Linked DNA regions of Drosophila melanogaster. Changing the gene in region 1 together with any one later gene gives a genetic interaction. Each region holds a gene or a part of one and is shown on either strand. Other genes may lie near its edges. The genes, in order: TBPH, sens, cac and Rab11.

Region 1 (7,949 bases):
TTGACCATAACTAATGACTAATAACTTACTAAATATGTTCTATAAGCCATGAACACCTGGCAAACACCTGGCGAATACTCACCTGGCGAATACTCCGGTTTGGTGCGCAGCAGATACATGATGTCGATAATAAGATCATAGTCGACGAAATCCGGCTTGGCGCTCTTCACCACATAGCCGTGCAGACTGTAGCTGTTCAGGACATCGATGCACTCGTGGTTGCCGTTCATGGCCGCCAGTGAGATGGCGTTCTGCTGGAACAGGTCCACAATGTAGGGATCAGCGCCCATGAAGAGCAGCAGGCGCAGATGATTGGCCTTGTTCAGTTCGGAGGCGAAGTGCACCGCCGTTTTGCCGGTCAGCGAGTGGCGGTAGTTTACGGGAGCCAGGTCGTAGTTTACGGCGTACAGGAAGGGACGTAGGGCGGCGTCCGTGCCCAACTCTCCGTAGGCCTGCAGGCACTTGTCCATCTGCTCGTTGCGCGGATTGTTGGCGCGAAAAGCCTCCGGAATCTCCTTGTAGATGTCCGGACCCTTGTGGATGCCGGCCAGGGCAATGCAGCTGTGCAGCTCGTTCAAGTAGGAGACACGTGGTGCGACCTCCGGCTGCTTAATCATATTCAGTTGCAATCCCTCGCCAAAGAAGTCGGTGAACTTCTTGGGGTTTCCCATTTGCGACAGCAGCACCACCCTCAGGTTCTGATGGCTACTTAGCGCCATGCGTATCTCGCTCAACAGGATGTCGGTGTAGGGATCATGCAGGTGGACATCGTTCACCACCAGGTGACTGATGTTGCGAAACTGCTGGCTGGTCAGCGAGCGCAAAAAGTACTGCGCCGTCGAGTAAATAATAAAAGTGCTGGAGCTAACGGCGCTGAAGTACGGCAACTGGATGCCCACCGTCTCGCCCAGCTGCTCGCCGAAGAAGTTGGCCGTTCGCTGGCTGTTGTAGGTGGCCAGAATGGCCTGCCGCTCGATGCACATAATCTTGACGTTGGACTTCTTGTTCCGGCAATCGTCCAGAATGACCAGGGGCAGGAAGACGGACTTGTCCCAGCAAAGCGCAGCGTTATAGACGATCACCCGACTGGCGTACAATGACTGCAAGATCTCGTCGCTCAGCGAGTGACCCAGAAAAGCAGTCAGGAAATTCAGCTGCGCCTCCGTCCAGAAGCGCAGGTTAGGAGGACGTATGGCGGGCAGCGGCAGATGCAGTGACGGTAGGTCCGAGGCATTGGCCTTCATGGAGACGAGGTCCGCGTAAAGCTCCAAATCCTCCTTGCCCATCAAGGACTTCCTGCTCAGCAGCGTAAACATGTTCAGCGTAGCGCCCGAGGACAAAACCAGCGTCTTGGGCTCCTCCAGGTAGTGGCGACATGCCTGCTTGTACACCTTCACGCAGCTATTCCCGTTGACATGGACCACCTGCGATCGCAGCCCCAAGGAGCGGGCGTTGTTGGCGAATGCTTCGTGCTCGCTGGTGCGGAATGTGCACGGGAACTGCTGGCAGCAGCGCCGTCCCGCCAAGAAGTAGAGCAGCTGTTGCGGAATGTACTTGTCCTGGATGATGTGGTTCATTTCTGCTAGCTTCAAACAGATTGACACTAAATTAAGTGAAGTGCGCCGCAATGCGCGCGGCAATTGCAAGTTCCGTTATTGCCACCGTCGTGAAAATAGAAAAATGGCGGAATGGAACACAGGGCTGTATTTTCGCTGGCGCAAAGCTTGCTCATTAAGGGTATTCCTTGCATATACTCAAACAAATGTGTAGTGGAAATTTGTAAAAAAAAAAGATCCAGGTGTCATTACAAACTGAATTATAAAACATACTTTGTTATTTTCAAAGAATAAGAGATAAGTTTCCAAGACGGGAGAGTTTCCTTTACAGGAATATATTAAAATATTCAATTCACAATCCCATAGATTCCATTCAAATGAAATGATTCACTTTGTACTAATATGCTTTTGCATTCTTTATTTTTTGAAATGAATGTACATGTTAAATGAATTCTCCTCTAAAATGAGGCTGCGCCAAATTCGTTTAGATATCTTAAAGAAAACTTTGTTATATTGGAAATTCTCCGCAGATCCAGCATTATAAGTGCACAATCTTTATAACTAAACTTTCTTAGCGTAAGCCAAAATATATTTAATAAACAACAAAATACAAATCAAATTCTACTTAAGTGATACAATGATACAATTTTTACTGAGCTTTGGCGCAGAATTTATTTTGAAGTGTGTTTTATCAATTGTGTTATTAGCCATCCAGTGTCATCTTGTTTACAATTATCAAAATATCTATTACATATTAAATACAATTCTTAACTGGTTTGTATGTGGAATACATATATGTAAATTTAAGTAAGCTACAGAGGTGTTGGTTAACCACATTAACCACATCATTGGGTGACAGGCACCGCCTTAAAGAAAGTTTGACTTCTCCGCGGCGTTTTGAGATCCGCTGCTCTGGTTCGACCAACCGGTGTTCCCATTCTGGAATAGAGTAGAATAGATTCTGGCTGGGATCCAGGTTTCTTAGGGGATGGTTTCAGTTTTGACTCTAACCTGTGGCTCCGAGTTGTCGGTCTTTATTCCGTTGGCGGCCGGATTGTTGTTCGGGTTATTCGGCCCCTTCCGTCCACCAAAGTTGTTGGCATTGTTGTGGCCCCCGTTCTGAGCCATCCAAGATAGAAAATTGCCGCCCTGCGGAGCAAGTGAGAGAGTTTTTTGTTTGAAACAATGATTGAGGTGTGAAGGCTTGCCTGTTGGTCCTGGTTTTGGTTCTGCAGCTGGTTGCCGACCAGGCTCCACTGGTTCAAGGCGGCAGCGACCAGTGCGGGATTGATGGGCAATGAGTTGAGATTGAGCATTGACTGGTTGCTCATGTTTTGGCCCTGGTTGGAGGAGCTCGATCCCTGCGAGTTGATGCCCAGGGCCTGCAGGTTGGGCATGTCCAGGTGGCCACGGTTCATCCAGCCGTTGCTGCCGCCCACGTTGCCGTTATGCGGCTGGTTCATTCCGTGAAAATTCGACTGGCGACTGTTGTACTGGCTGCCGCCGTCCTGGCGGTTCGTGTTCCCGCCACTGGAGTGATTGCCGCCATTGTTGTGGTAGCCCCCGCCCGAGTTGCCGCCGTAATTGTTGCCACCCATGCCGTAGCCGGCGGTGCCAATGTTGTGATTATTGGGCACAATTGCGTTCTCACCGCCGTGAGCATTGTGTTGGTTATTACCTCGGTGGTGTCCGTTGCGGCCCGGATTCATGTGGTTACCCTGTGGGTGGTATGAGTGCATGCCAAAGCTGTTGGCAGAGTTGTAGTTGTAGCTCTGGACCTGTTGGTTTCTGTTCTGCTCGGCCTTTGGAGCAGCATTCGACACATGGACCGAAACGCCTGTGGAAAGTGTCTCATTAATTCCCTGATTCTTCTCCACGCGGCAGTGACTCACCCTTGATAATGTGATCCTCTCCGCACAGGGACTGTGCCACGTCGGGATCAAGGAAGGTTACAAAGCTAAAGGCCCTGAAGGGCCGGGGAATGAACACATCAGTGACTTCGCCAAACTTGGAGAAATACTCGCGCAAGTCGTCCGAGTTAATGTCCTCGGTGCAGCGGCCCACGAACACCTTGCAAGGCACCTGGTGGCCCATGCCCTATGAGAATAGAAGGATTAGTAGGCGTGAAATTGCAGGGCTAACAAGAGGACTTACCTTCGAGTTGGGCACCTTAACCTCGCACCAGCGACCGTCGATCAGATGGCGATTGGTGAGCACGCGCATCTGGGCATCGTAAGAGCCGAAGCGCACGAAACCGAAGCCCTTGGACTGGCCCGACTTGGTGTCCTTCTTGATCTGGGCCATCAGCACCTCGCCGTAGGTCTCGAAGTACTCACGCAAGCTCTCCTCTGTGGTCTTCCACGGCAAGCCGAGCACGATGAGATCAGTGCAGCGCAGACGGGTCTCGATGCGTTTGGTCTTGGCAGTTGAGTTCTCCAAGTTATCGTCGCTCTTGCGCTTGTTCTCTGCAGGGGGGGATTACAGAATTATTTAAGGTTCAACAGGGAGTCATACAACTCGAATTTACCCTTGGGAAAGACGCAAAAGTAAGCGTACTCGCCCCAGCCGGACTCCACGCTGGGCGGAAACAGTCTGCCCTCGTTGGAGCGAACTCCGCGCACAGCCTTCGTGTCCAGGTTGCGGTACTTCAGACCGCAGGATCCAGGGAACTGAGCTTGCAGTGTGGACAGAAGCAGAGTGCCATCCTCCTCAGCCGGCAGCTCGATGGGCTCGTCGCCCTCCTCCTCCGACACTTGAACGAAATCCATTTCCTAGAAGGCTGCTAGAAACGAGGAGGGGATTAAAGAACTCTATCGCCGCAGGGGCTCACACTTCGCTCTAGAAATGATCCACCATGTCATTCAGTCAACGGAAGCATCCCACATATTCTGCATCGCTGCATTCATGAATGCACTCACTCAGTTCATCCGTTCTATTCAGATGCATCCCAAGGTACAATATTCAACACAAAAAGGTTGCCCCGAACCACTCTATACACACATTGCTCGTGGGACCAAGCCAAAACAAAAAGGATCCTACACTAGGTCAATCTACTAAAAACGACAAATAAACAATGTTTCTATCTCTTGTAATTTCGATGATATAATTTTAGTAAGTATTACAAACATATTCATATATTATTAGTGTTCATGTTTAGGCGTTTCTTTACGTTATTATTAGTTAAAAATTCTCTGAATCAGACGCTACTTATGTCCCACCATCGGCTAAATGCCTATTCTACGTACATTTAGTTAATAAACAAAAGAAGAATACCCAATCCCAAGTTTACGATGTATGGCATACATATGTATATGTTTTGAACTACTCAAGAAAACAGATATTTCACCCACTTAATACGAGTAAACTGACGTTTGTGAGTGTGGAATCGCGGCAGGAATTGGAAAATCAATGAATGAAAGCCACATAAATTGAAAATATCCAATCCTGTCGTCTGTGTGTGAGTGCAAGTGTGTGGCACACACACACACGCACACAAACGCAATCGTCGAGGGGAGGACATAATGTGTAGACGGAGGCAGTTTGGCGGTCCTAAAAGATGGTTGGTTACACAACAATTCTTACACTATTGACAGGGATTAGTTGGTTGCTGTAATTTCTGACTGCGTATGGCAAGTAGATATAGATTTCTGATCCCAGATCTCAGATCGCACGCTCTCTCACACGAATTCGATTCACACCCAGGCAAAATCAGGTATTCACTGTACGTTCCACGCTCGGTTCTTGACACAACACACGCTTCGATGCACAACCACTTTCAATCGGTGCGAAATAGGAATCAGGTAATATTTACAATTGACAGCTTAACAAATTTTCAAACGACGAGTGAAGCATTTCTTCTCGCTTTCCGTTTTGATTTTCTTTTCCTTTGTATGTATCGCCTGACGTATGCGCAGTGTGGCCGAACAGGGCTAGTGAGAAATACCAGCCGGCGGGTAGATATACTAAAAGTGTATTATTTTTAGTTAAAACAGTGCATTGTCACATAAATTTTAATAGCCTCTTTATTAAACTATATGAGCGTTGATTGCCACTATGAATATCTAAGCAATATATTACATTACAATATGGCAATTATATTGGCATTTGGTACTGTCGAATAAAATACCAAACCTTGCAGTGCTGCCCATCAGCTATACCAAAAAAAAACTTGGCAGCATTGCGCATCGTGTTCATTTGAAATTTCGAAACACAAAACATTATAAATAAATTCAAACGAAATTAGCTCGCCATGGAAATGCGTACGATAAAAACAGCTAGACTTTATTAATCAATAACATTTATTATTTACAGCTGAAGGAGTTTCGATTGCTCTTGCAGACCGCGCTTGAATGACAAAATGCATTAGTTGGTTTCGAAATATTAATGATTGGCTAACAATTATGATACATTATTATTTATACACAATTAAAAAAGGCATCGCTGATTTGCACTACACAAATATTATTGTATTTTCTCGTAATATTAGTAAAATCACAGTGAAATATTACTGCACGCCGTAGAGTTGAAAATGTAGTTCTGGGCCTCCAGAATGTGCATTTCAGTTAAACATATAGCAACTAACAGGATAATGTAACCGCTGTACCGGATCGCGCGCAGGAAGTCCCACAGCTTGTCGCAGAAGATGCTCAGCAGGACGCAGTGCAGCAGGGCGTGCACGTTGACGATGCGCCACATCCAGGCGACGCAGAAGAACCAGGTCGACTTGAACACGTAATCCTGGCAATGCGACTGGTTGCCGCTCACGTCCTCGCGCTCCAGCATGTTCTGGTAGACGGCAATGTAGCGATTCCACGCCGTCGAGCTCAGCAGCAGCTGGCCCGTGAAGCTGATCACGTTCTTGGCCACCTTGCGCGTGGTGGCCTTCATCTTCGGTATCATCATGGTGGGCTCCGGCAGCTTGGAGTCGCTCATGGGTATGATCGAGTAGCCCCTCCGCGGTGGATTGTTCTTCAGGTAAAAGAATATGCCCAGCAGCAGCGCAATGCAGCCGAGTCCGTCGCACAGGCCGTCCACATAGTAGCCGGAGGTGCCGATCTCCGAGCGCTCGCCGCGTATGTGCTTGCGCACGCGCGCCACATGCCCGTCCAGGTCGTCCAGGAAGGTGCGGATCTGGAAGAGCAGCACGCCCAGCCGCCGATAGCCCAGGCTGTCCGAGGCCACCAGTTTGCCCGCCAGACAGGCCACGCCCACATGGAAAAACGATATCATGTTGGGCGTGATGAAGGTGGAGCGCGAGAAGCCGATCACGTTGTCGAACATGGTGGCCAGCGGGGCGAACAGGTAGTGGTTGGTGTGGTCCAACAGAATGGCCTTCACGGTCACATGGCAAAGCGGATTTATATCACAGGATATCCAGGTGTGGTCCTCGTAGGACGGCTGCCGGTCGCCGGCGGTGGGTAGTTTCGTACTGGTGCTGCTGCTACTGCTGCTGCTGCTGCTGCTGCTACCACCGATGCTGCCGGACCCGGACTCCGAGGTGGACGGACCCACGACGGAGGCGGGCAGCGAGACATTCGTGTGATAGTTCCTCTCGATGGCATAGTTGTGGATGCGCAGGTAGAGCTCCACGTCCATGAAAACGTAGAAGATGATCAGCAGGAACAGCAGGGTGAGCAGGATCTTGCTGATCTGCGAACTGGGTCCGATCATGGTGACACTTTGAGGTAGCGCTTAACACTAAGTTCTTATCGGGCTGATTTCAGGGCGCAGCTGTGGGGCGGAAAGAAGTGAAGCTGATCAATATGGTTTATCGAAGCGAAGTAGTTGTCAAGATAAGCCGCGCACGGCATAAAAAGTTTGGCAAGCAACATGCAGGGTTTTGAAATCCCCTTCTGAAATTCTGAAATCGTATATGCGATCATAATAATGCTCAGCTATCAAAGAGTGAAAGCTAACAACTAACCACTGGCAATGCGTTCTTATCGAAGGAATTTTTGACACTTTGGGGAGCGACCGCAGTGACGAAAGAGGCGGGGAGAATAGAGCAATATGGTCAGTTACTGGTACTGGATGACTAAATCAGCCCACTTGGGCACCCACACATACACACACACACCCCACCTCAGCCCGCCCAGCCGAAGCAGCGCACTATCTGTTCCACTATCTGCAGGTATTTGCGGAAGCTTTTGGCGAGGCACTGGGAATTATAGGCGCTATTAGTAACCTTTTAACTGCCAATGCCGATTAACGGGGCTTCTAATTGGCTGCAGGAGTGTGCGTGCACGCAGCAATCCATCACACACACAGCACACACACACACACTCATTGGGCGTGCGTGTGTTGGTGGAGGGGTGCTCCCTGATAAGTGGGCATATGGTAATGGAACCATTTATGGGCTGGAATTGGCGATCGAAGTGATATAGGTGATATGGG
Region 2 (9,177 bases), on another chromosome or scaffold:
GAACCGATTCAGAGGATGGTACGTGGGGACGGGGATGGAAAGGAAAGGACACGAATTTGTTGCGGGTCCTACAACTTCTTTAGACCACTTCTAAGATCAATTTCCTCTTCACAATTTCCCCCCGCGCGATCACGGTTTGCCCATTCAGCATTGTCTGCGTTTTGGGGTTGCAGCTTTTCAGTCTTTTGATAGCCACACATTTTCCATAGCTCTCTCCTTTGTTTCCATGGGGGCTTGCCCGACTGTTGAATAAATTCCAAACGGCATGACAAATTATGTGGGCTCAGGTGTTATGCGGAAAAGGGGTTAATAAACCGAGAGTCAGCGCTGCGGAGAAACTCCAGCATATGGCTGCGACCTATGTGTATCTGTATCTGTATCTTATCGAGTTTGCATTATGGAGTGCAAACTAATGCTAAGCTGCTTCTTGTACTTTCAGCGATTTGAGGTATATATAAAGTATATGCACAGTTCATTAAGCAAAGTATTAATATTCGTGATTAAAAATCTATGCACTTATGCTTCTGATTTTACGGATTTACCTTCTCTTTTATTGACTTTTCACTTCAATATCAATATCTTCAATGAAAGTCATATTTGCACAGAACTTGCGAGTCACTTTCAAAGTACTAAATTTGATAAAACGTCCGACCTTGAGTTTCGCAATCCACCTGGCCAAATGCCAACTCAATAGTATAATGATCAGCATCTACATTCTTTGACTTTTGATCCCCACTTTGTCGGCACTTGGCGTAAAGTCCTTGAACTGCATTTTTCTTCGGCAACAATTGAACTGCATATTTCTCTCTCCCCTGCCCGGTTTTCTTTTTTTTCAATATTTTGTCAATTTCGATCAATTTGTGGCGTGCCAAAGTCAAAGAAGACCAAGAACAACCCGACGATCGAGTTTGGCTGCAGAAAGTGGCCCCAAATAAAATCCTGCGGATGGGGCTCGCTGATTTGGTCGATTTCTGATTGCGACTGCCGATGAATGGCGATAATGAGGGAAGTCGGTGATTTGTAAACTGCCAAACTTCATTTCGGGCGTTTTAAAGTGCCGCAAAATGCATTCGGACATTTCGATTACCGAAAATTGCGATCAGCAGTCCTCAATGACCATTGCTCCATGCCCCCCCCCCCCTTCTCGATCCCCGCCAGCCCCATTTCTCACTTTATTTCGTCAGCAATTAGTTCGAACTTCGAACACTTATTGGCGTTTTCCCCAAGGATCGGGCATGCAAGTGGGCCGAGGGGGATGTGTACCTGCTGTAACGCGGCGACTTACAAAGGGCATTCCCCAAATGCCACATTGGGCACAGATCAAAGATCACCGCGTCACCCGAAACAGGAGCAACTTATTCCCCATCAATTGAGTACGTGCAGAAATTCATCTATAAAATCAGGTTTACGAACAGGCCCCCGAAAAAATATTTGGAGCGCTTTGGACAATTTGTATCAAAATGTGGTACTTCAAAGGAGGAGGCTGTGTCCTTGATACTAAGGAATTTCTCAGCTGCTCAAGGGGTTGATCGTAATAATGAGATATTTAACCCACCCGATGTAAAAACTTTTTGAATTAATAATACATACCAAAAATATATACATATGTATTAATCATATCATGTGTATTTTCTGATATGCCTGAGGATTTTGTATAAAGGAATCAATCAATCATTCTAGATATTTTATCCTTAAAAAAACCCATATATTTTGTTTGTTCTCTTTTAGCTTTCAACTTTATTTTCCAAAAATCATATACGCTCCTAATAAATATAATTACAATAAGTCATTGGGCTTATTACAAAATAAGAATAAACTAAAAATTCGCATAGATCGTATAAATAAATGTGGGTGATGCCATCAATAAACTTAAATAAATTAGGAAACTAAATTTAGACAAGTGGTCGCCAAGTGGTAGTTCATTTGTTTGAGGTTGTTCTTTGGTACGTTTAGCTGCCAATTTTGGGTTAAGTTTGAATCAAATCAAAAACGCTTTATGCAATAAATTAGATTAATCATTAAGCTAGGGTTTAACGGCTATAAAAAAGAGTCTTGTTTGGGATAACTATGTACAGACTTAAGGCAGTATCTTAGCTAATATGTTTTAACAATAATTCTTACGATTAGGTAAATCTTTGCGAAGGCCTAAACAAAACAAACTTTGGCTTCATAGCAACGACTTAGACTTAGGGCCAACTGTGATCTGCTCCACCTTCATCATCATCATCATCATCATCATCATCTGGTTTTGAGTGTGTGTCTCGTCCTGCTTAGCTAATACTGGGATCTCCTGGATCAGAGATTGCCGCCTAGCCTCGGTCAGCAGCTGCTGCTGCTCACCTCCATCTTCAGGGGCTTCAGGTCCTCCACTGGCGGAGCCTCCTCATGGCGGCTCTCTCGATGACGTCGCAGATCCACCTTGCGCTGGAAGGACTGATCGCAAAGGTGGCAACCGAAGGGTTTATACCCCGTGTGCTTCCTCATATGCGTGATCAGGTTGGAGCTCTGGCTGAAGGCCTTCAGGCACACGGTGCACTTGTGTGGCTTCTCGCCTGGAATCGCAGGAAAATCAATAAACACAATTAGTTAAATGCCGCTTCAAAGTTTATTAATTGTGGCCGAGAGGCGGCGGCAGCTTTACAGCAATTAGACAAATTGAAAGGCGATAGGGATCTGTGTGTGTGCTCAAGGGTGGCTCTGTTTGCACCACGTTCTGACACATTTGCCGAGGAATAGTTGGATACTCTCCCCATGGACTAGCTTTGATTTCACCGAATATTCAACTTACCGGTATGTATGTACGTGTGCTTTTTCATGTCCGACTTTTGGTGGAACCGCTTGCCACAATATTGGCAGGGATATGGCCGTGTATCGCTGTGGATGAGCAGATGTGTGGACAGGGTGGACGAACGCTTGAAGCTCTTGCCACACTGTTTGCACTAAAAAGAAAGACATAGACAATAGAAAAATACATTATTAACACCACATTCAGACAGAACGAGTCATGATTATTGGAACTCAGAATACCCCATATTTGCACAGCTTGAGCATATTCACACCAAAAAGCCAAATAATCAAAAAATCAGAAAAGAATTTATATATAAATTCACCGTTTTTGTGTGCCTGAGCCAAATTCGCAGTGGCAACATGAATTAAACTAGATTTGTGAGTGCTCAAATATTTGTTAGACAAGTGACGACAAGGGAAAACCCAAACCAAGCCAAACTTGGTTAGCCCACATCCAGGCGACAAATAATCTAGAACCTTAGCCATTTCTCAGCGCTGAAACCAGCTAGGTAAATATCTCGGCCCAATGCTAAATCTCAAGTGAGACACTTTCCAGGGAGCTTTAGCCATGCATATATGTACATACATTGTATATACCGCAGTATTTGTGGGCCAAACACAGCTGGGATCCACGGGGAATCGATCGCGGGGATTGGACGAATCCAGTGGCTGTAACATCTTCGGTTGTCAGATTAAATGTTTGAACAGTTTGCCAGTTGCAGCAACGTTGCAAGTAACCAAACATTGACATAACACAACTCAAATCGTCGGCCTACGTGGGCGACATTTATATTAAACACGAAAACATGAAAACAACGAAAAGTAAAACACAGAAATGGGTGAAAAAAATGTGAGACAATTTTTTTTTTGAAAAACCCGCATGGTCTACGCGTAATTGTAAATTGACACAAGTGTCGGTTTTTTAAAATTTCTTTCTTATTGATTTTTATGTTCTCTTATTTTTTTATTTTTTACGTTTTTTTTTAGCCTTGTTTTTGGGATTTTCTATTTGCGCATTGCATTCGCGTGGACCATATCCACTACACACATTGGCTAGACTCAGACCCAATTAGTTGCTCTATTGTTAAGCTGCGCTCAACTGCCTGAGCCATAATGTCAATTTGCTTAGCTCTGACAACGGAACGGAAGTTGGCAAAGCTCGAAAGGCAAAAAAAAAAAGAAAAAACGAGCAGGGAAACAAAAAAAGAGTTAAGGAGAAACCCCAAAGTCTGAGTCAGCCGGGTGGGCCTCCAATGGTGAACAGATGTAAAGCACGAATTACAGAAAAAATTCGATTTTATACATAAACAGCTGAAGAACAGTGACTGCGCCTGCGCAAAGGACTCTGGCAACTGTCTTCGTCGGCTTTTTGACCATATGTCGGTCCGGTACTGAAGCCCGAAAACCTATCGCATTTCACTCTGACCCTTTAATGTGTGAAAAAAAAACTGGAAAAAGATGTTAAAAAAAAAAAAAATAAGGACTCGCGGCGGGTGTTGATGGATATAAACGCAATATGACATCGGGGTAGGCATAAGGCCTATTAGGGTAAGTCGTCTCAAATTCCTGAGGGTCGTGTGCCCTCTTACCTTTTGCACAATCCAATATCGAATTATTATGATTGTAATTTGTACATAAATCTTCGAGGGCGAGTTATGCCCCCCACCGCACTGGCGCTAATCAAAATTATTTGATTAACTAATTGCGTGATTTCGATGGGACTTAATTGAATTTCCATAGAGCTCTATCGGTTTGGCTTGTATTACCAACTTTATGACAGTATTTGCTGTGCCACTTTTCCAAATTGAAAGTGGTATTGGTGGGGTTTTCGGCTCGGCGACAATTAAAACCCGCACGGACAAAATATGAAACAATTAACACAGGGGAATTGTCGAGGACACGCAACCTTATGCAATGATACGAACAGTATTCGTTTTGGGTTATAGATCATGGTCCTTCAGGACACGTGATAAGCCCATTAAAGCGGGCTGGGGGCTCAGAGATTTTCAAGCGATTTGCCCTCGATTTCCTCTTCATATTTCCCTACCCCTCGACGCGTTTATCCTGTTTGAGTTTGCTTACCTGGAAATTCCTGCCGCTGCGCTTCTCTTCGTTTTCTCCTTGGTAAGATGACGAGGAGGACGAACGACGCGCAACATCTGTGGCCGTCGAGTCAGGATGTTGCTGCTGATGCTGATGTTGCTGCGGCTGCTGCTGGTGATGCAACTGTTGTTGCTGCTGCTGCTGCGGCTGTTGGTGTTGATTACGCATGTAGCCGAATTCGGCGGCTGCCACCAAATTCATGAGTGCCGCTGCCGAGCGGTTATCCTGCTGCTGCTCGTCCTTGATGCGATGCTGTTGCTGCTGCTGCTGCGGCTGCTCGCTCTTCAGCTTCAAGTGCTGGGTGAGCAGCTCCAGATTGTTGCCCGTCAATCCGGCCATGAATGCGCTGCGATGGGCATACAACTGCTGTTGGGCCACCTCGAACTCCAGATCCTGGACGGCATTCGAGGCGGGAGCGGACAGCGAGGAGATCGGCGATTGCAGCGAGGATATGGATGCAGTTCTGCGCTCATACTTGAACTTTCGCACAATAGGATCCACCTGGTGCTCCTCCTCATCGCCCTGCTCCTCCATCTTCAGGCCGTACTGCTCCCTTCTCGCCGATCTCTCGCACATCGAGGCCGGTGACCAGATGATGTTACCCTGCGATCTCTGGCGCTGTTGCTGTGGTGTACTCGAACTCTTTAGATTCACAGCGCTCAGGGGAGGCGGGGTAACGTTCAGCGAGGTCATCGGATGCAGTTGCTCCACTTCACTGCTGGAACTGCTCCTGCTGCTGTTGTTGCTGCTGCTGTGATACTGATCTCGGTTGGAATCATCCGATGTGATGCGCTCCTTGGTGCTTAGATTTAGTGGCATATCCTCATCCTGCTCCTGATAGTCCTGCTTGCTGTTCTCATTGTTATTGTTCATTTGGAGTTCATGCTCCTTTTCGGGCGTCAAGGCAAAGTCACGATCCCGCTGACCCAAAACCACAGAGGCGGGCGATTTGGGGGTCATGGGGGTCAGTGGTGTACCCAGAGCCGTGGCCGAGGACAACAAAAATTGGGGCCACAGTAGGGCACTCGAGTAGAGCAGCGGGTTGTACAAAAAGGGCAGATCTATGAAATGCAAATTTAACGAATCAGTTGAATAGTAGTGATTAAGATTAGGAAGGAAAAGTATCCTCAGGATGCCTATCAATATAAAGTTACTCTTGTATTGGTAAGAACTACAGTAAAGTTAACATAATTTTTCTGATCTGTTGAAAGTGTTAACATTTTGATTTTAAATCGAGTGATCTTTTAAATACAATTCGAAACGATTAAAAAGCTATAAGCTAATCTTTTTGCTATCTTTACTGCCCCATATATTTTTCTGTCAATCCAGATCGGGAACTCACCTCGACCATTGAGTTTCTGTGCTGCGGCGGAGGCTATCACAGTGTTGAAGGCGGATGCCCGCTGCATCCACTGCTTGTCCAGAGCTGCTCCATGGCAGCCCAATCCCGCGGGACTCGGCTGCTGGGAGTGCGGCGATGGCGGCGGCGATAGGTGATTCATTTTGATTCTGGATCTTTACTTTTTGGAATCTCACTGGATCTGATTTACGTATTTGCTTTAACAGTCTTTGGATTGTGATTTTTCTCAATACTGTTCACTGCACAAATCTCACTTTCTTGGCGTTGTGATCTTGGATTCGAACGGATCTTCGATGGGTCTTATTCAGTGCGGTTTTATCTTGACTCACTGGAGACGAACACGTCCGTATCGCTCGGTGCTTCGCACCTGACTGAATCTTTGGTCGATGGCTCAGTTCTAAATTGAGCCAACGGTGAAGCGACTTGGCCCGAAAAAAAGGTACAAATCGAGCTCTCTTTTTTTTATTTTTGTGTGCGACTGTGGTTACTTGTGGCACTGTGTGAGTGCGGCAGCAAGCCGAATCAAAACGAGCCCTCGGTGTATTGGTGTTGACTCTTTTGGTGGTGGCTCTCGAGAGCCCTGCAATGTATTGTTGGTGTTGGTGTTCGTGTTGCCAACTCTGGTTTTTCACCTTTGGCAGCAGTTGGCGGCAGTTGCAGTCCTGTGTTCCATGTTGTATGGGTCAAGACGCACAGTTAGGAGTCCCCTGGCGATCTCGATACCCCAACCCCCTGCGTTCGTATCCTCTTGGCCCATCTACTACTGGTTTTCCAGCACGCGTTTCCCTACTAATTGGTATGCACTTAAAGTTTGGCGGGCGTTTGTTATCCTTTTCCCGCTGCCCTGTAACAGTTACAATTGCCTTTGCTCTTTCTGTTGCTGCCACCAACTGTTGTTGGCTCAGGAATATCGGGATCGGTACTTTGGCCAAGGGAGAAGAAGCGAGAGAGGGCCAGCAATCGGCAGAGGATTTCACTGCTGATCGGTGGAAGGGGGGAGAGGACGAGGGCGGGATGGGGCGGGGTAGCATACAAATATTTAGGTGGATGAATCCAAGGATCTAACATCTGTCGTGGCAACTCTCCATGTTTGTAGATACTGTTTAGATTACCTTTAGATTTGACAAGGATTACAAATGGGTTCCTAATTTTGAATGTGATGAAAATTAATTTTTGTATTAATTATTAAAAATACATTGCGAGTAAAATATAGGAGAAATTAAGTTTAAATTCATTTTTATTTGCGCTTCTCCCAATAAGGGTAAATAGTTTAAAGCAACATCGTGAATTTAATCTTTAAGCTTTAGACTTCATCCATAAAAAGTGTTATTACATTTTAGAGGATTGACGTAAACCTACTTCACAACCAATGCACAAATATATAAACTTTATTTAAATTATTGTAGAATTTTTTTTGTTATATTTCTATATAAAATCTACCTTACCAAAATGACATATTTGATTATAATAATGTTACATTTAAATACATAAGATTAGGACAGATTTTATTTAATAGCTATCAAAATATCAGATTTCCCATTTAAAACCGTTTTAACAAATAGTTTGGTTTGGTTTCAGAACATTAACTTTCAACAAAGTTTTTGTTAAATTTCTCAATGCAAACTTTGCAGTTCGTCGTATTTTCCTAAAGCATTTCAATAAAATTAAAAGACTGAATTCTTTTGTCAGTCAATTTAAAACCAATACCAAACTCTAAGCCATAAAGTCCCCATCTTCTCGTTGGATCGTAGCTATTAAACCACTCAGATAGGACGACTGAGCACCTGCCACTTTCTCCCTCTACCGCTCGATGCACCTTTTTCCGAGCTTATCCTTGATGAGAGTTCGGGGTCCTCCTCCTGAGTTGGTAGCTCGCCACGCTTGGCCACCTCGTCTTGGCCGCCTCAATTCCAGTTTATCTATCCTTGGCGCGGGCCACACCTGCCTAGAAAACGAGCCAAGAAAATGTGGCGGGCGCACACTTACACTTCCACATTTAACGATCCTTTTCCTTGTCAGCAATTTTAGTTCCCATCCCCTAGTTTTTGGCGCAATTTCCATGGCAGGACATGTGCAGAGTTGAGGCGACACCGAAATTCCATCGCACTCGTGTCCGCCACGGGTGCCGCCGATCTAGCGAAGCGGTACGAGGCACGCGGCCTAAAAGCGGGCCAAAATGGGGGAACTCTGGCTTCTACCATTTCGACCGCGATGAGGGCTGGCCAAGTCAAGTTGGTGGCATCGTTGCGCTTGGCGGCGTTCCCATACATATTGTTTATCTGGAGAACTGAGGGCGCGTGCTCATCCCCTGCCGCTTTGTAACGGATTCACCGTATGCCGCTCACACATCTATCATCGTTTGATATGCGGTACACTGAGAGAAATACTGTTTTGAAAATTACAATATTCCTGCATATAGAATCCGCTTAATGCAGCTAGGAATGCAGCACTGAGAAATTTATTGAAAAGGCTTTTACTTTAAACCGAAATCTATTATAGATTACCGCAACAAACATGTAAATAAGTTGGTGCTATTTAGTTTTAATATCCATTACTTCGAAATAGGATAATTCTATTTAAGACAGACAAATGTAAAAGCAAAATTCTAAAATTGAAAGTACGTGTTTAATAAGCTTCAAAACTAGAATTTTGTAATAAATATTATCACGATTGATACCAAAAGTCTTGAATGCATTTTGAATTATCAATCATTATTTTTTGTAGTGCATTGCAATGCATCACAAGTTCGAGAGTCGTATATAATTTCCATTCTCTGTTTTTTCATGTCGGCGACATTTTATTTACGACACCCTCAGCGTGCCCCTGCGTTTGAGCAAATCCCACACTCTGCCGCTCGGAAATTCGAAAATGCCTTTGCACTTGGCTCGTGGCTCTCGGCCAGCCGCTCGCTGATTGGCCAGCAGAAC
Region 3 (6,581 bases), on another chromosome or scaffold:
TAGATGCAAATCACACACACACACACACACTCGATTCGATTCGATTTTGATTACGATTTGAAGTGAAACTGGTCAGATTCCGGAATCTCTGTTTCATTCGCTTGGCTTTGCGTTAGCTTTGAGTGTTTCGATGTTGTGCTACTTATTTTGCCAACCGATAATTATGATGCGCTCGGGTCAATTCAGTTCATGACCTATTGAAAACATGCTCATACACTCGCGCACGAACATATACATACATATGGATTGGATGGGAATGGGCATGGGCATGGGTATGGGAATGTGGTTACTCAGGTGCATGCCAAGTGCATGGCTGGTGTTATTTTTGTATCCAATATGTGGTGTATCTGTAGAGAAGCTGATCCACAACATTTCGGACTGGCAATGGCTATGGACACGGTCTGCAGATAGATGTGGTTATTTCGGTTATTGGTATAAAATTCCATTACTGGAACACGCCATGAATGAAAAACGTTAGGGGATGAAAAAGTCAGAGGCTGAGAGACTGGCACACATACAAATGCATGTGTATGGAACACCAAAAAAAAAAAAAGCTCAATACACTCGCACACACACATACACGGGCTGTGGTGAGTTGTGAAACGGTGAGATTCTGAATTCCGACTGGAAGAATTCTGAAAACTTGTTTACCTTTTACGGAGTATTCTTGAATTGACAAACTAGCCCATAAGGCAGTGAAACTACGAACAAGGTTTTATCTTTACAGTTATTTGCAGATCAATCAAATGTTTTGATTTACGGGGCTGATAACAAGAATTGGCATTTGCAAATTTCAACTCTCTCCATTCCATCCACACACACACACATATACACACGTACCGGCAGAAGCTCTCTCCCCCTCTCTCTCTCACTCTTTCTCTTTGGTTTCAACAATCACTGGGTCACACCGATAACGATAACATCGCAACCACAAATCGCTTGCCTACTTTTAAGGGCCCAGTAAATCTGGTTGCATTTGCATTTAAATTAACTATTGCCCTATTTTGAATAGTTCATTTTCAATTGCGCAAAGCAATGTCTTTTCTTTAAAAGCAATTCTTGTTATTTATTGCAATTGTATAGTTCCAGCTCTATTTTCCCTAGTGACGTCACCAGGCACAGTTGTCTGAAATTTTTTTTTTTTTTATGTTGACGATGTCTTTCGGAACGATTTTGGGTTTTTGGAATGGGCAGAAGCTATATATATCTGTGTGTCTAACTACAATCGGGCCACAGTGAGACCAACGAACCTGTAATTGCCAAAAATAAACAGCAACAATGACACACTTGCCATCGTTGCCCCCTCTAAACTAACGCTTTTTGTTATTTCTTTTTTTCTGGAAACTGTTACACTTTTAATTGGGCTTAAAGAACCAACTAACTGAAATTTGATATGTCGTTATAAGTTTAGTTACAGAGCACACGACTACCACAATATTTGTTCATATGCTCGCATTCAATTCCCCATACGAGTATTCATATGAGCATTGTTAAAAGAACAGAGACAAACAAATTTTTCACTTCCGTGAAGAGAGGAGAACCATCATTAGAATTCGTTTCCGGTATGGAAAACATATACATGTGTAGATTTGTATGTGTGTGTGTGGGTTGGGGAATTTACGACTAGTAAATATTTGTGTGGACTGAGAATATAGTTAATTTAAATATTAATTTGGGGGGTGCTTCCTGCTACATCGCCGCAATTCATTCACCTCGAAAGTGCGTGTACACGTCACAAAAATAAACGATATACCGATAGGCTAAAAAACACCCGAAAACTCCATATCTCCTTTTCCTTCTCCTTCAGCTTTAGCTTTGGCTTTAGCTTTTCCTTTCGCCTTTGCTTTTCCACTTGCCTCTTGCCACATCCACTTCCACTTCCATCCACCGCAATATATAGCACCACCGACGCAACATTCCGCCCGTTGTGCTACCGACCCGCTGACCCAATCCCAACAACTATGTATATATATATGGCTATACATATATATGTATATGTATATGTATATGTATATGGATATGTATATTCGTGCGGGTGTGTTGGTGTGTGTGTGGTGCGTTCGTGGGGCTTGTTAACTTTAACTTTTACAACTGGTTTTTAAGGATAGCTTCGGTAATTGGGATTTGAAACGAACGCATATATATATGTATATGAATGTGGCTAAAAATAAAAATTAGATCTGGTTGCCTGGAGGAGCACAATCAGAGGTCGTTTATTGGCTTCAGTAAGCCCGAATAATGCTTTTCACTTGGTTTCCCGATATCTTTTCTTGCTATTTTTGCTGTCCTCGCCGCCATTGTCGCCAATTCGACGTTTTGCCATTGGGTTTTTCACGATTTTTCACGATTTTCACGCTTTTCCGACTATATTTCTTGTTCTTGGTTTGGATGTTTGTAGTGTTATTTTCACCACTCGACCCGAATTCGGATGCCAGCGCACACAACATTCGAAATGTGGAATTTTCACAGCACTTTTAACCCCGCATTGCGAGTGATTTTCACTTGATTTCTTTAACGCCAGGCTTCTGTATTCAGCCACATTTTAGTTGTCGCACATTTGCTGTTAAATTGACTGGGTCCCGAGTTAAAAATAAAAAACAAAAACCGCTTCTACGGGAGCTGTCACCACCGACTTTGTCTCACCAGTTGGACGAAAAACTCAACAAAACGCAAGACTTCAACTCGGCGACTTTGTATCACATACTACCACATCGCCAGGGTCCAAACACACGCACAAAGGGCAAAAATATGGGGAAAAAAATCTACCAGCCCTGCGCTCTGCATCCGCCCGAAAGCTCTGGTCCAAGCTTCAGTTCAAGCTCAATCGGACAATCGGAGGTGGACACACTGGCCAGCCAGTGCGGAGGAGAGCGCATGCGTGTCCTCCAAGGAAACCCGCTCCTAGGACCGTTACAGTCGTCGATTGAGCTTTAAGCTCCGCTTGCTCTTCACCCCTTGGGAACAAAACTATCGAACTTTCGAGAAATCGCGGTTTTAAAATCCGGGCTTAAATCATACTGCTAAAGTTTAAAAAAAAAGCGAAGCGACGAAGTTTAAGCTACTTACCCATTCTAAGAGTTTTTTTTTTAATTGATTTAAGTAATTGATTTACTACTGCCACAATTGTTGATAAAGCTTTAAGCTTTAAGAATACTTTCAACCCCTTGTAGTAAAAACTTTTGCATCAAGATATCGGTTATTTGAAAACCCGGCTTTAACCGAATTACAAATGATCAAAGGCGCTCTCATACTTGACCTAATTAATTAATATATAAAACAAACAACATATTTTACTCTATTTCAGACTTAATTTTATCTCTGTACATTTCAATAACCCTCGTCAATTACCTTTGCATACTATCTTTAATAATAATGAATTTTTACCAATTTTCAATACTTTTCTAAATATCAATTGATCTTTTAAAATAATGTTAAGTTTAAATAATTTATATTTAAATTGGTAGTGGTACTCACATTAGGTCGCCTAGATTCGGTCGCGTCTGGACAAGAGCAAAACTTTCCGGAGCCCGGCGCCTTTTGTTAGACCCTTGCGAGCCGTAGTGCGTGCTCCGCCGGATGACGCCATCGCCGATGATGGCAATATTGTCATCCAGACCGTTGATGTTGCTAATGGTCAATCGCGCCATAGGAGATGAGCCCCTTCGGCGACGAGCTCCCACTCCGCCCAGCATTCTGGGAATCGATGAATCGAACTTTGCAATACGCGAAATGTACTCCAAATATTGCCATTTCTGTAATATATTCACTACCAACTATCGGGCACGTTCACAATACAATGCGTTGCACTTGTTTGGGGATCTTCAACGATTGCGAATGTCCGTAGACGACGGGCCCAGAGCCCCAGGTGTGATGCACCAGCTGCCACGGTCCGGACGGAACTGATAGTCGATGGCTACGACTGCTGTCGATGCCCCAACAACCCAGCAAGATAGATAACGGCCCAGATGGCGATGACGACGATTGCGGCTGATGACGTGCGATGACGTGCTTGATAGTAGTCAGCATTTGCGCAGTACAGTGTCTGCCGCTGGTAATTAGGGTGTCCAGGTGTCCATGGGTGAACGCCGCTCAGACGGGCCAGGCCGCCCACTCCGGCATATTAGCAGCTTCCTTTGTTCACGAGCGCCAACAACACACTGATAACAAAGGCATGGTAAACGTTACTGTATTACAATTAATTTCGATATCAAACATACCTGTGATTCTTTCAACATACACGTTTTCTATATGTGGTCAGAGGAATTTAAACATTGCAAATTTCGAGATTTTTAATGTTAATATTATGGTGGAGATCTAAAAGCGCAGCGATTCTATGGGAAAATTCCTTTTTGGCTTTCCCGTGCCATAATTTATTATTTGAATTGCCCTACTGTCTTAGATAAAAATAAAACTGAAATGCCATAATCAGAAGTTTTCGTAATGAAACTAGCAAAAAAAAAAAAAGAAAAAACCGATAACCGCTAATTACTCCGAGTAACTTTTGCCCATCGCCATGCCCAAGGGGCTATTATCACAGCGCTCACTTAGAAATGCGTTCCCATACACATTTCGGATGTGATTCAAATTACAAAGGCCGTGATCCAGTCCAGAAACTTGGCCACGTCGGCATATATAATGTACTGATTCTTACAGCAAAGCTTATGGCTAGATTCCGCATCCGGTGTCTCTACGGCGGGCAGGGCCGCTGATACTGTGCCACGCAGCATCCAGCGATTGTTCCGGCGGATGAAAAGTCCGGCCCCCGATATACCGGTGTAAATGCTCGCCCCGCTCTGATGCGTATCTCGTTCCTCCGCCTGGATGCCGGCGCAAAACGTTCGGTTTGAGGATAGGCTGCGAAAGTGGGCATTGGCTCGAAAGCATTCGGCATTGCCGACAATGGGAGCCTTTACTACCTTGGGTGCACTGGCATCGGTGGACTTCTTGCCCGGTAGCTCCGACGACAGCTTCTGATCCCGCGTCCTGTTCGTTCTGTCAAAGCTCCAGCCGATGACGATGCCCCGCTCGCCCACAATGTACTCCGTTTTGCTGGAACCAGACCACAGGCAAGCGGGTCGAATAAAGGTGTTAAATCTGCGTTGAAAATAATGGTATACTGTCAATATAATAAATGATCTTCATATTCGATTTCACATCGCGGTTTAGATATGAATCTAAATCTTGAATATGTAAGCTTTAGGCATATTGGCACCCACCGAACTTCGTCCTTGAGTATAATCACTGCGATATCCGCATCGTAGCTGCTCAGCTGACTGTTAAAGTCGGGATGAATGTAAATGCCATCGACGGGGGCCGCCAGAGATCCCTCCTCGTTCCAGTTCTTCAGATTGTGGCGGCCCAGAAAGACGAGCACCTCGTTGGATGTGTAGCGCTTGTTGAACAACTTGAAGCAGTGCGCCGAGCTGATTACAACGCGTGCCGAGACAAGCGAACCGCCGCACTGAAAGTCCAGGGAGGTCAGGTTGTTCACATAGATGGCCGCTAGCCAAGGCCACGATCCCCTGGTGATCGATGGCAGGCTATCGGCGCTATCGCTTTCTATCGCTTCTGCTTCTGATTCGTCCACAAACTGATGCTCCAGGACATCGTCTTCATCGTCATCGACAAAAACTGGCGATGTGATGCCATCGGAGCTCTTTGGTTCACCGATTGCGACATGAAGTGATTCCGTTCTTTGGGACAAGTGAAAGTCCAGATCCCTGTCGATGCGTCCGCAAATCTCCTTGGGCGCCTGGGCAAAGGGTTTTCTACAAAAGCGGACATTAAGTAACGAATGAATGTCACGATCGTGTGTGTGTTTTAACCGACCAAAATCCGGATGCATACTTCTTGAACTGGATGTGCGGCGTACTGGGCGGCTTGTCGTCGGTTTTTCTCACCTCCTCCTCCTCGGGATCTAGCAGCAGGGAGCTCTTCTTATCCGGTATAAAGGACAACTTCCTAATGTGCTCCAACTGGATTTGGGTCATGAAGATGCTGTGCTCTGTGGTGCGGGCAAACAAGTCATGGATTAAATCGTTTGCTACCCAAGTTCCGTGGATACGCACCGCCGGATCCGAAGCAGATCACATGATTGTTGGCTGACATGAGGAGCAGTTTGGGCGGGAAGTGATGTTTGGGAAAGCGGATCTTATACAGCACCGGTGCATTGTGGGTAAACTTGCCGCGTGTGAGTAGCTCGATTTCGCCCAGATAGTTCTGTGTGTACTAAGGGGATTAGGTAACATCTGGATGACAATATACCACTTACCGTGGTGGGCTTGCCACGCATCGAGAGCGTAACTCGTATGTGGAGCGGCTGGTGGCCATCCGGACTGCGCACGGCCATCAGGCCGAACCATTCGCTGCCGTCGAAGCGGTACTGAAACACCTTGGGGCACGGACTGATCGGCATTCCCTGGGCGACTGCCTTGGTTACGTGCTCGATGCAGAGGATCAGGATCGCCGCCAGGTGCAGCCTCATCGCTAGTGTCTGGGAATGCCCGGGATGAAAATGCTTTTCACTCAAAACAAACGTAAACAATGCCGCAATTTCGATCGAAGCTTTAACAGTCCGGGAA
Region 4 (8,812 bases), on another chromosome or scaffold:
TCGAGCGAATGCCCAACTACGAGGAGAAGCGAGAGTTCAGCAAGCTGCGCGACAACATCGCTGTTAGCTGGAAGGATAGCAAGGCCCATTACAAGGAGGTGGTGCAACGTATGTTTAGTTAGTTCCCATTGATAACATTGCGATGTCGTGTTAACCAATGGTCTTTATAAAATAGCTTATGTTAAATGTACTACTTTGATTTTCTACTCTTTCTGTGGTCAAACTTGGCGCGCTTGTTTTTGGGATCGAACTTGGCTCTCCTGTTCTTGGGGTCGAATTTGTCCTTCTTGTCCTTGCGATCGAACTTGTCCTTACGATCGTACTTGTCCGTGCGCTCAGATTTGTCATTCTTGTCCTTGGTATCCAGTTTAGCGCGCTTGTTCTTGTATTTCATTCCGCCGCCCAAACTAGGCCGCTTTCGGGAGGACTTCGCTTCCATTTTGAACAGTTCTGCAAAGGAAACATTAGTTTATATTCTACGCAGCATGTAGCACAACTCACCTTCGTCTGGTTCCTCGCCGACTTCCTCCTTGTAGTACTCTGCATCATCCTCGGGATCGCTGTCAGTCCGTCCCTCTGCCGCCCTCTTGGCAGCCCATTTTTCATCCTTCTTAAGCTTCAAGTTGCGGGCACGGTTCTCTGCCTGCTCCTTCTTGCGCTGCTCCTTCTGCTTTCGCTTCTTTTCGACCAGCTTGCGCAGGGTTTCCTTTTCGTCCTCTGTCTTGACCACATGGTCGTGATACAGTACTTCGCCCGTCAGAAGGCCCTCTTCTATTTTGATGAGCTGCATGGTTAGTCGAGGTCCGATCTCGTGTAGCTTTATGGAGCTCTTTTTGTCCTCCAAGTTGCCCTTGCTTTTAAGAGTCTGTGCCAGCACCACATGTGATTGCTCATCATCTTCGGCCTCTGATTCGGAGGCATAGCCGTCCCTGAAAATCAATATTATGATTATTTGATGGAATGAGAACAAACGGTCATTTCCTACTTGGTCACAAAGTCCACGACTTCGTTGCACTTGCCCAGATTGGGTACCGTTCCTTTGACGATTTTCTGGACCGCCCGCTTTAAGCCAACCGGCACCACCTGCACGGAGTAGTGCCGCATCTCGACCAGCTTCGTGTCCGGATTGTAGGAGAACAGGACGCAGCGACGAATGGTGCCGATATTAACCGTGGCCAAGTTAATTGAGGGGAACATGTTTTGGAACGTGGTGGCCATCAGCTTAAGGTGCTTGCCATCGCCACTGAAGTTGTTCATGATGACGAGCGGAGCGTGCTTGAAGTGATCGTTGTCAATCATCTGCTTTTTGCTTAGCGAGATCACATCTCTGGCCAGGGTGAACTGGTGAACCTGACAGAGAATAACTTCGCGGTAAAATATCCAGTATAAACTAAGCGATGAAACAAACAAACCTTGAAAGTCAGGGAAGGACCGCGCGGCAAGCGGACCACTTTGAAGGACAGCTGCGTGGAGGCCTTGTTGAAGATGCCCATGTGCGAGACGTGGAAGAAGCTGCTCAGGCTGACAAAGTCCTTGATGCGGTTCATCCGCTTCTCGCGCAGATTGCTGGCCGTAAAGGGCTCCATAATGCGGCGGAAGTCCAGGGTGAGGTCCGTGATGTACGGACAGGCGAGGCCGCGATGGATGACGAAGGAGTGCGGCGCCTCCACGATCTCGCTCGGCTCGCTGGCCTTGAAGGCCGCCGTGCGCGTCTTCGGATGCACTTTCTTCTTACCGCCCATGTTTCAATGTTTTTGTTCACTTTTCTCCCGCACGTGTATGGATCAGTGTGGCTGCTCGCGCGGAAAATACCAAACACCCACTCCGACGTCTGCCTTTGGTCACTCTAATCCCATTTTAAATTTCGATTTTCCGCCCAATTGAAAGCACTTCTGTTTTATTTAAATTATATTTATTTAATCACACTTAACATAGCAAACACAAATGATGTTATTTCGTTTCATTTATGCATTTAAAGTTTTACAACTGTTTTTGTTTGATTTCTCTTTATCAGCTAGTTTTACCAAGTGGCCAATCGTTTAAAATGTTGCGAGAAACCGAAGAAGAAAATCCGAGCTGCAGTGCTGTGGTAATGAATTTGCGTTTAAGTCGAAGAATTTCCGGTTGTTTGTTGTTGTTCTGCTCGCGAAATTACAACTATATATTTATGTTGCGAAAAATTAATAATATTAATATTTTAATATTAGCATATATGTATATTTATATAAATTATAGTTCTACAGCTTAAACTGAATTTGGAGTGTTTAGTTTTGCTTGCTTTCTTTCCGCGGCGGTCGATTTATGCGATACTCATGGATCTGTATATATATAAAACTTCAGTTTAAACCGCAGTTAACTACAGCCGGATGTTGTTGCTTTCGATTCTTTTGCTGCTGCTGCTGCTTCTGATGATGGTGGTGGTGTTGGTGGTGGAGAGTGGCGGCTCAGATTTGAATTATCAATTTATGCGCACATGACAAACTGTGGCTGACAAACGCATAGACATCTTGTGCGGTCCATCGGGTGTACGCTGCTCCTGATCTTGGTGTTGCAGTTCTGGCCGCTGCTGCTCCTCTTGTAGTCGTAGTTGTAATTGCTGTTGCTTCTGTTTATGTTGCTGTTCTGGCGGTTGCGGGGAATAGCGAAAATTGCTTGGGGCGGTCACTGACAGCACTGTTTGCGCACATCGGCGGTGACAGTCGGCTTTACGTCGATGGGCTCCACGTTCGACGGGCGGATGACGTCGCCTTCCGGCGGATCTCTGATCTGTTTCTGCGACACAATGCGATAGATCTCTGAAACGGGATTACGAGACATCATTAGTCGTGCTTCGTTATCATTAATCTATTGACTTTCAATGAAGCGTTTAATCTACAGTATTTAAATATTCTTAAACGATCGATAATTTGAAAGCAGACTAGCTAAAATATCCTGAACGACCCACCTGTGAGTATGTTCTGGAATGCCGTTTCAACGTTCGTTGAGTCGAGGGCCGAGGTTTCTATGAAACTCAAGCCGTTGCGCTCGGCAAACAGCTTCGCCTCGTCCGTGGGCACGGAGCGCAAGTGCCGCAAGTCGGACTTGTTGCCCACCAGCATGATGACGATGTTCTGGTCGGCATGGTCGCGCAATTCCCGCAGCCACCGCTCCACGTTCTCGTAGGTCAGATGCTTGGCAATGTCATAGACGAGCAGGGCCCCCACGGCACCGCGGTAGTAGGCAGAGGTGATGGCGCGATAACGCTCCTGGCCGGCCGTATCCCAGATTTGCGCTTTAATTGTTTTGCCATCGACCTGCGTTGGATGCACAAGAAGGATGAAACAAAGGACAGCATTAGAATGGTGCCAGTAATTGGCAATTTCGCCACGAAATGCCTGCGGCGCATTCGCTTTGAAAATTAATATACAAGCACTGGCATTCAGTATTCACACATAACCAACATAAATTAGAGCTTATGGATAAGCTTTTAACTCTAGTAAGAGAACCCAATTTTTGAAATTTCTTACACTAGTTAGAAAAAACGCAAGTAGCGTAAGTTATATTCATTGAACCCATTTGATATACTAAATATTAAGATGACCTACTAAGCTACTTCGAAAAGATGGCACAAAGTATTGTTTAACACAAATCCTTATACATACGTAATATATAATTGTTATTGACCACATAAATTTATTATTTCAGCACAAGTGACAACTATGATGTCAACATTTTGGCTAATCCCGTAGGATGGCTTTTGAAATTATGCAAGAAAGCCAATTGGCAATCCATTATTTAGTGAAATTCTCGACACTTACTCAAATTGAACAAACTTTTCCCCCCAATTTTCCGATAGACGCCTCAACTACGTGTCCTCCCACCGAAACGCACACGCAAGTTCACCCGTGACTTCCCCCACTGTGGGTGCGGTGCGGTAGATGTGTGGGGGTGGAGCTCCATGGGCCACTCCACCCTCGAATTCTTGGCCAGCGTACTCACCTCTATGCTGCGCGTTGCAAACTCAACGCCAATCGTCGACTTGGACTCCAAGTTGAATTCATTGCGCGTGAAACGTGAGAGCAAATTACTTTTGCCAACACCGGAGTCACCGATAAGGACAACTGCAAAGGATTAGAGGGAATTAGTGACATCGACATTGGCATTGGATAATCGAAGACCCCCAGTTGCATAATTTATGTGGGTGTGTGGTGTGGCGTGGCGTGGCATGGCCCCTGTCTTGTGTTTTACGGCCGGACAGAATGGTCGCTGGTGGCCCGGCTAGGTCATGTCCTCCTTTCGCCGCTGGCACGGCGCACCAAGGTCAGCGAGTACATAAAACCGCCATGCTCGGGGGATTTCAGGCCATGGAAAGAAATGTTTTATGATTGGGCCAGTCGACGTTAGGGAGTTCGTGTTATTGTGCTTCATTGCCGATAGCAAACATTTCTTGGATAATTGAGTGGCGGATATTTGAGGGAGCAAACAAGCATCCCAAGTTGATATGCTACCCGATAAAAACTATCCACTGACCTTTTTACGACTCCATTTCTTTTTGATAAACTTTCTTATGTGCGGCCAGAGTTGTTGGCTATAATATATATTAACTGATATCTAGACACTGTGTTTACTGACTGTCTGTCTATTAGTTTCCATTTTTGACACCCTTTTCGGACATTGTTGATTCAGCATGTTTGCTAATCCATTCAGAAAACAACAACTATAACTCATCAAACACCTTTTCGCTCTATCGCTATGGTCATCGCTGCACGGAGAAAATTCAAATAGTAAAATGGTATCATATGAACACTGATTCTTGAGTTCGAAGTTTCGATTGCAATGCCATTAAGATAGGAACTAAATATTTGAAACGACTTTTGAGCTAAGTCCAAGTTTTTGACTTAATTTAGATAGCTAAATTAGAGGGTATAGGGTTTTCTTTCAGTGTGGACAGCTGGGAGCAGCGTGGTTACAGTTATCAGCGAGAGAGCTGAGTCACTTTGTTTTCTACTCTCTTTCTCAGCGCTAATAACGATCTTTAAAGAGAAATTGCACTTAGTTAAGCGGATGCGATGAGAAATTAAAAGGGGAGGAGTGGTAATCGACGGTCATTACTTAGTAGTGGGATTGGCTCGAATAACCCGAAACGGCCCATTTTCAGTTATGTGATTATGCGCTTATCGGTGAGTGGAATTCTTCAGCAGTTATTGGCTGTGAGTCATGTCCGTTTAATATTGTTTCATGTGTGAAATTTGAGGCCTCATCATGCATACCGCACACTGACGCATTATTATGATGACTTTTTTTTTAACTTTTTGTATACTTGACCCAAAAAATACGGCAGATTAAGTTTTAAATATTTTTTTAATGACATTCAACAGTTGCTCAGCTGTGATAGCTAGCAGAGATTTCCAAGCGCAATTGGAATTTATGGCGTAGTAGCAAACGAAGGGAACAAAGAAGAGCTGAGAATTTGTGACCTCTGTTCATACATATCTACACATAAACGGGGGAAGATGCGGGATAAAAGTCTTGTTTTCTACCTGCAAATACATCATTTTGCTCTACTGTGCTTCAAACTTTCAATCGAGAGCGGGTGAAAAAGAGAGCGCGCGTGAGAGAGAGCTACTAAACGAAGTTACAAGAAACCATTGCAAAAGCCAGCTGTACAGAAATCATAATACCCACACTCTCGCTCTATTTACTGGATATCTAATCACTTTAGCATTTCGAGTGGGTGGGCAAGCCTTAAACCTACTTTACAGAGCGAGCGATTATAAATACGATCTGCTTGGCTTTTGTATGCAACGTGGCGAGACCAACGGCACTGTAATGACAAAACAAGCAGTTAACGGCAAAGTACGCGTACTCCAGTCCGAAAGAGTACCCCAAAGAGATGGAGATAGGCAGAGTGAGAGCGGGAGAGCCACCAAAGGGCATCCAACTGCAGCAGTAGCAACAACAACAAACTCGGGGGGCGTACTTCTTATTTTGGGAATTAATGACACTCACGCAAACAAACACACCACATACCATCACATGAACTTTGGGCTCTTCGAGTGCACTTTTTGTTATTCTCCAATTAGTTTCAATTAGTGCTATTGAACCACTGTCTCTCACGGCAGGGAGAGGAGAGCCTGGAAGTGCGGCTCCTCCCCTCCTGATCAACCTTCCGCGATCTTCGACCAGCGGCTAGTATCATGTTTATAATTACCTTTGAACAGATAATCGTACTCGTCTTCTCTTGCACCCATTTTGCTCAATTTGTTTTGCTATCGCTCGCTCGGTTCGATATCCTTTGGAAATCCAGTTCCGTCCTTTTTGTTTTGTGTGTGCGGGTGCTAAACGAAATCCAATAATCCCTGCGCGCCGCCGATTTCTTTAATGCGTTTGTCGTCGGCTCACACACTTTACACTTTTATTTGCAGTTGTAGTTGTAAAGAAAGAGAAAAGTGTATATATCAGTATTTAAGTGGCGAAATCGGTTGCTCTTCCAGCTCGGATGCGTTCGAAAATGCTGGCAGGACTTTTCCGGCAATTGGAGCAGTATTAATTGGAGATTTGCAGCTGCTTGCAGCGCATTTATTTGCAATTTTCTCTTACACGAAAACTTAGTCACTCCCAATAACGTCACGTTATATTTCCAACGAGACTAGAGATGTTGAAAAATATCGGTACATCGACATTATTTCGGCGATACTTATCGATTTTCTTAATGGCGATGTAAGGCGATAGTACAATGTCACTTCTATTTTTGTTTATATGAACATTGTTTTATACTCAAAAGCTTTAGAATTAGAATTAAATTTTTTCATAATTAAAACACATTAGGTCTAGAAAATAAATCTAATGTTTGTTTCCTATTTAAAAAACTTATTTGTTTTATTTTAAAACACCAACATACTTATATCATTATCGATGTTTTCACATCGACTTGCATCACTAAATTAACGAGATGGATGTTTTAGAGTTACCAGACGGTACGACGAATTATCATGAACTGCTCTCGTTTCATCCCGACAAGCCTATCGTATTTTAAAAAAGCTGAACACATTTTCTAGGGATTATCCCTAGCCCATTTAACTTATTTCCAACTCAAAATGTCTTGAATACTTAAAACGTTCCAACCTAAACAGAATCGTTCTCCCAGTAGCAGTAACTGTTTCTAATATTATCTTATTAAAAAAATTAATTAAATAGAAAACATTTCGATCCCAAGTAAAAACCCCCTGCTTACAAATCAGAGTAAAAATGTGTTTATTTTAATATAAAATACTTGTAAAAAACGATAAATTAAGTATAATGTGCAGCTAATACTTCCGTTGATCTCTAGTGAGTTTAAAAACTCTATTCCTATTGCACTTAAATGCGAGCGCGTTGCAAGGCCATGGCTGGATAAATGAGCAGAAGTCCGCCGGCTATATAGGTGATCCTGGAGCCAACGCACCAGAAGGCTATTAAGGATTAAAGAGTTTAGAAAAGGTATAATCCTAAGACAGCTGAGGAGCTCACCAATGCATCCCACCACGGGGCCCAGAGCTCGAGCCAAAGCTCCCAGTGAGCGGAATATGCCCAGTACTGAACCCTTCTGGTCATCGTTTCCGTATTTGGATACGAGGGTGGTCAGACAGGTGACAGCGAAGGCTGTGGAGATTGCGAACAGGGTCATGCCGGCGTACAGCATCCGACTGCCCTCGGCTAGGCCGACTACTACGAAGGCGGGTACAATCAGGTACAAACTGAAGATGGCATAGCCTTTGATCTTCGCCTCGGGCAGCCGTCGGACCACCGATCCCTGCAGCAAAGTCATGATTACACCTAGAAAAAGACACAAATTTGATAGGGAATATTGTAGATTATCAACTTGCTCCATACCCGTTGTCAAAAACATCTTCGCCTGATCCATCGAAGTGTAACCGAATTTGTGGTACATCAGAAATGTGACGGTGAACTCCAAGCCGGAATACAGAAAGAGATACAAGAAGTATACCAGGCCAATGGATCGCAGTGCCGCAATGTCTTTCTTAGGCACATTTTTGATGGCAGCAAATCTGTCAGTGGGAGAATTCTTTTGAAATATGATTGTAAAATCCAGACATAATCATTGGTAATAATCTTCTAGCTAACTGGACTCAATTCCCTGTAACTACAATTAATCAAAAGCAATCTAGAATTTACTAACTGATAAGGCAATCAAACAAACGTGTCCGAGAACCCGGCATGATAATAGTGTCTATCAAACCAGTCAGGCAAGTCCGGGTGGCTTGCAGTTCTCACCGTATGACGATTTCGATTTGATCACACGACAGGTTTTCGAGACATGCTAATTAAAACATTGAATTACCTAAATATGGCCGAAAAATTGAGCAACTGCAGGCCATAAGACAGTGCAGATGATATCTCCTTAACACGTTTCTCCTGCGAAAAGGTCAAACAATTAATGGTGTTGGGAATATATTTAATTTAGCCAACCGTACGCACCTTGGGCAACGTTTCCCGCAGACAGCAGGCCAGGACCACAAGATCTCCAACTGCCAGGCCAAACGCCAGCAGAGAGGGCAACACAAACCAAGTACTTCCACTTTTATCGGAGAATATGGCGAACAGGGCTCCAATCATGGGCCCCACAATAAAGCCCAGCGAGAAGGCCACACCCACAAGGGCCATACCGCGTCCACGGGTCTTAACGCTGGACACATCCGTAATGACGGACATGCACAGGGATATGTTGCCCTTGCTAATTCCGCCCACGAAGCGGGCCAAAACGAACAGGGCAAAGTTGCTGGAGCAGGCCCAGATCAGATAGGATAACGCAATACCACTCTATAGATGAAAG

What was found.
Region 2: of TBPH (region 1) and sens, changing one suppresses a phenotype caused by changing the other (phenotypic suppression), as found in Drosophila melanogaster (one study listed by BioGRID).
Region 3: of TBPH (region 1) and cac, changing one suppresses a phenotype caused by changing the other (phenotypic suppression), as found in Drosophila melanogaster (2 studies listed by BioGRID).
Region 4: of TBPH (region 1) and Rab11, changing one suppresses a phenotype caused by changing the other (phenotypic suppression), as found in Drosophila melanogaster (one study listed by BioGRID).

What each region holds. Positions count from the first base shown.
Region 1 is NT_033778.4:23,857,123-23,865,071, forward strand, and holds TBPH (TAR DNA-binding protein-43 homolog), read right to left. Parts: upstream 5,472-7,949; 5' UTR 4,325-5,471; coding exon 4,084-4,324; intron 4,022-4,083; coding exon 3,711-4,021; intron 3,654-3,710; coding exon 3,449-3,653; intron 3,394-3,448; coding exon 2,765-3,393; intron 2,706-2,764; coding exon 2,568-2,705; intron 2,496-2,567; coding exon 2,424-2,495; 3' UTR 1,945-2,423; downstream 1-1,944. Other genes in the region: bgcn (benign gonial cell neoplasm), read right to left, coding at 68-1,577; Cpes (ceramide phosphoethanolamine synthase), read right to left, coding at 6,048-7,226.
Region 2 is NT_037436.4:13,394,516-13,403,692, forward strand, and holds sens (senseless), read right to left. Parts: upstream 6,611-9,177; 5' UTR 6,393-6,610; coding exon 6,233-6,392; intron 5,952-6,232; coding exon 4,870-5,951; intron 2,940-4,869; coding exon 2,789-2,939; intron 2,553-2,788; coding exon 2,320-2,552; 3' UTR 1,713-2,319; downstream 1-1,712.
Region 3 is NC_004354.4:11,981,203-11,987,783, forward strand, and holds the start of cac (cacophony), read right to left. Parts: upstream 3,886-6,581; 5' UTR 3,693-3,885; coding exon 3,475-3,692; intron 2,714-3,474; exon of another isoform or gene 2,634-2,713; intron 1-2,633. Other genes in the region: gd (gastrulation-defective), read right to left, coding at 4,581-5,094, 5,217-5,768, 5,848-6,004, 6,069-6,228, 6,272-6,484. UniProt on the Drosophila melanogaster protein: Voltage-sensitive calcium channels (VSCC) mediate the entry of calcium ions into excitable cells and are also involved in a variety of calcium-dependent processes, including muscle contraction, neurotransmitter release, gene expression, cell motility, cell division and cell death.
Region 4 is NT_033777.3:21,109,234-21,118,045, reverse strand, and holds Rab11 (Rab11), read right to left. Parts: upstream 6,639-8,812; 5' UTR 6,231-6,638; coding exon 6,191-6,230; intron 4,101-6,190; coding exon 3,979-4,100; intron 3,294-3,978; coding exon 2,945-3,293; intron 2,796-2,944; coding exon 2,662-2,795; 3' UTR 1,900-2,661; downstream 1-1,899. Other genes in the region: Bdbt (bride of doubletime), read left to right, coding at 1-122; ppan (peter pan), read right to left, coding at 191-450, 502-929, 986-1,350, 1,413-1,742; rtet (tetracycline resistance), read right to left, coding at 7,339-7,430, 7,489-7,794, 7,852-8,027, 8,321-8,394, 8,458-8,799.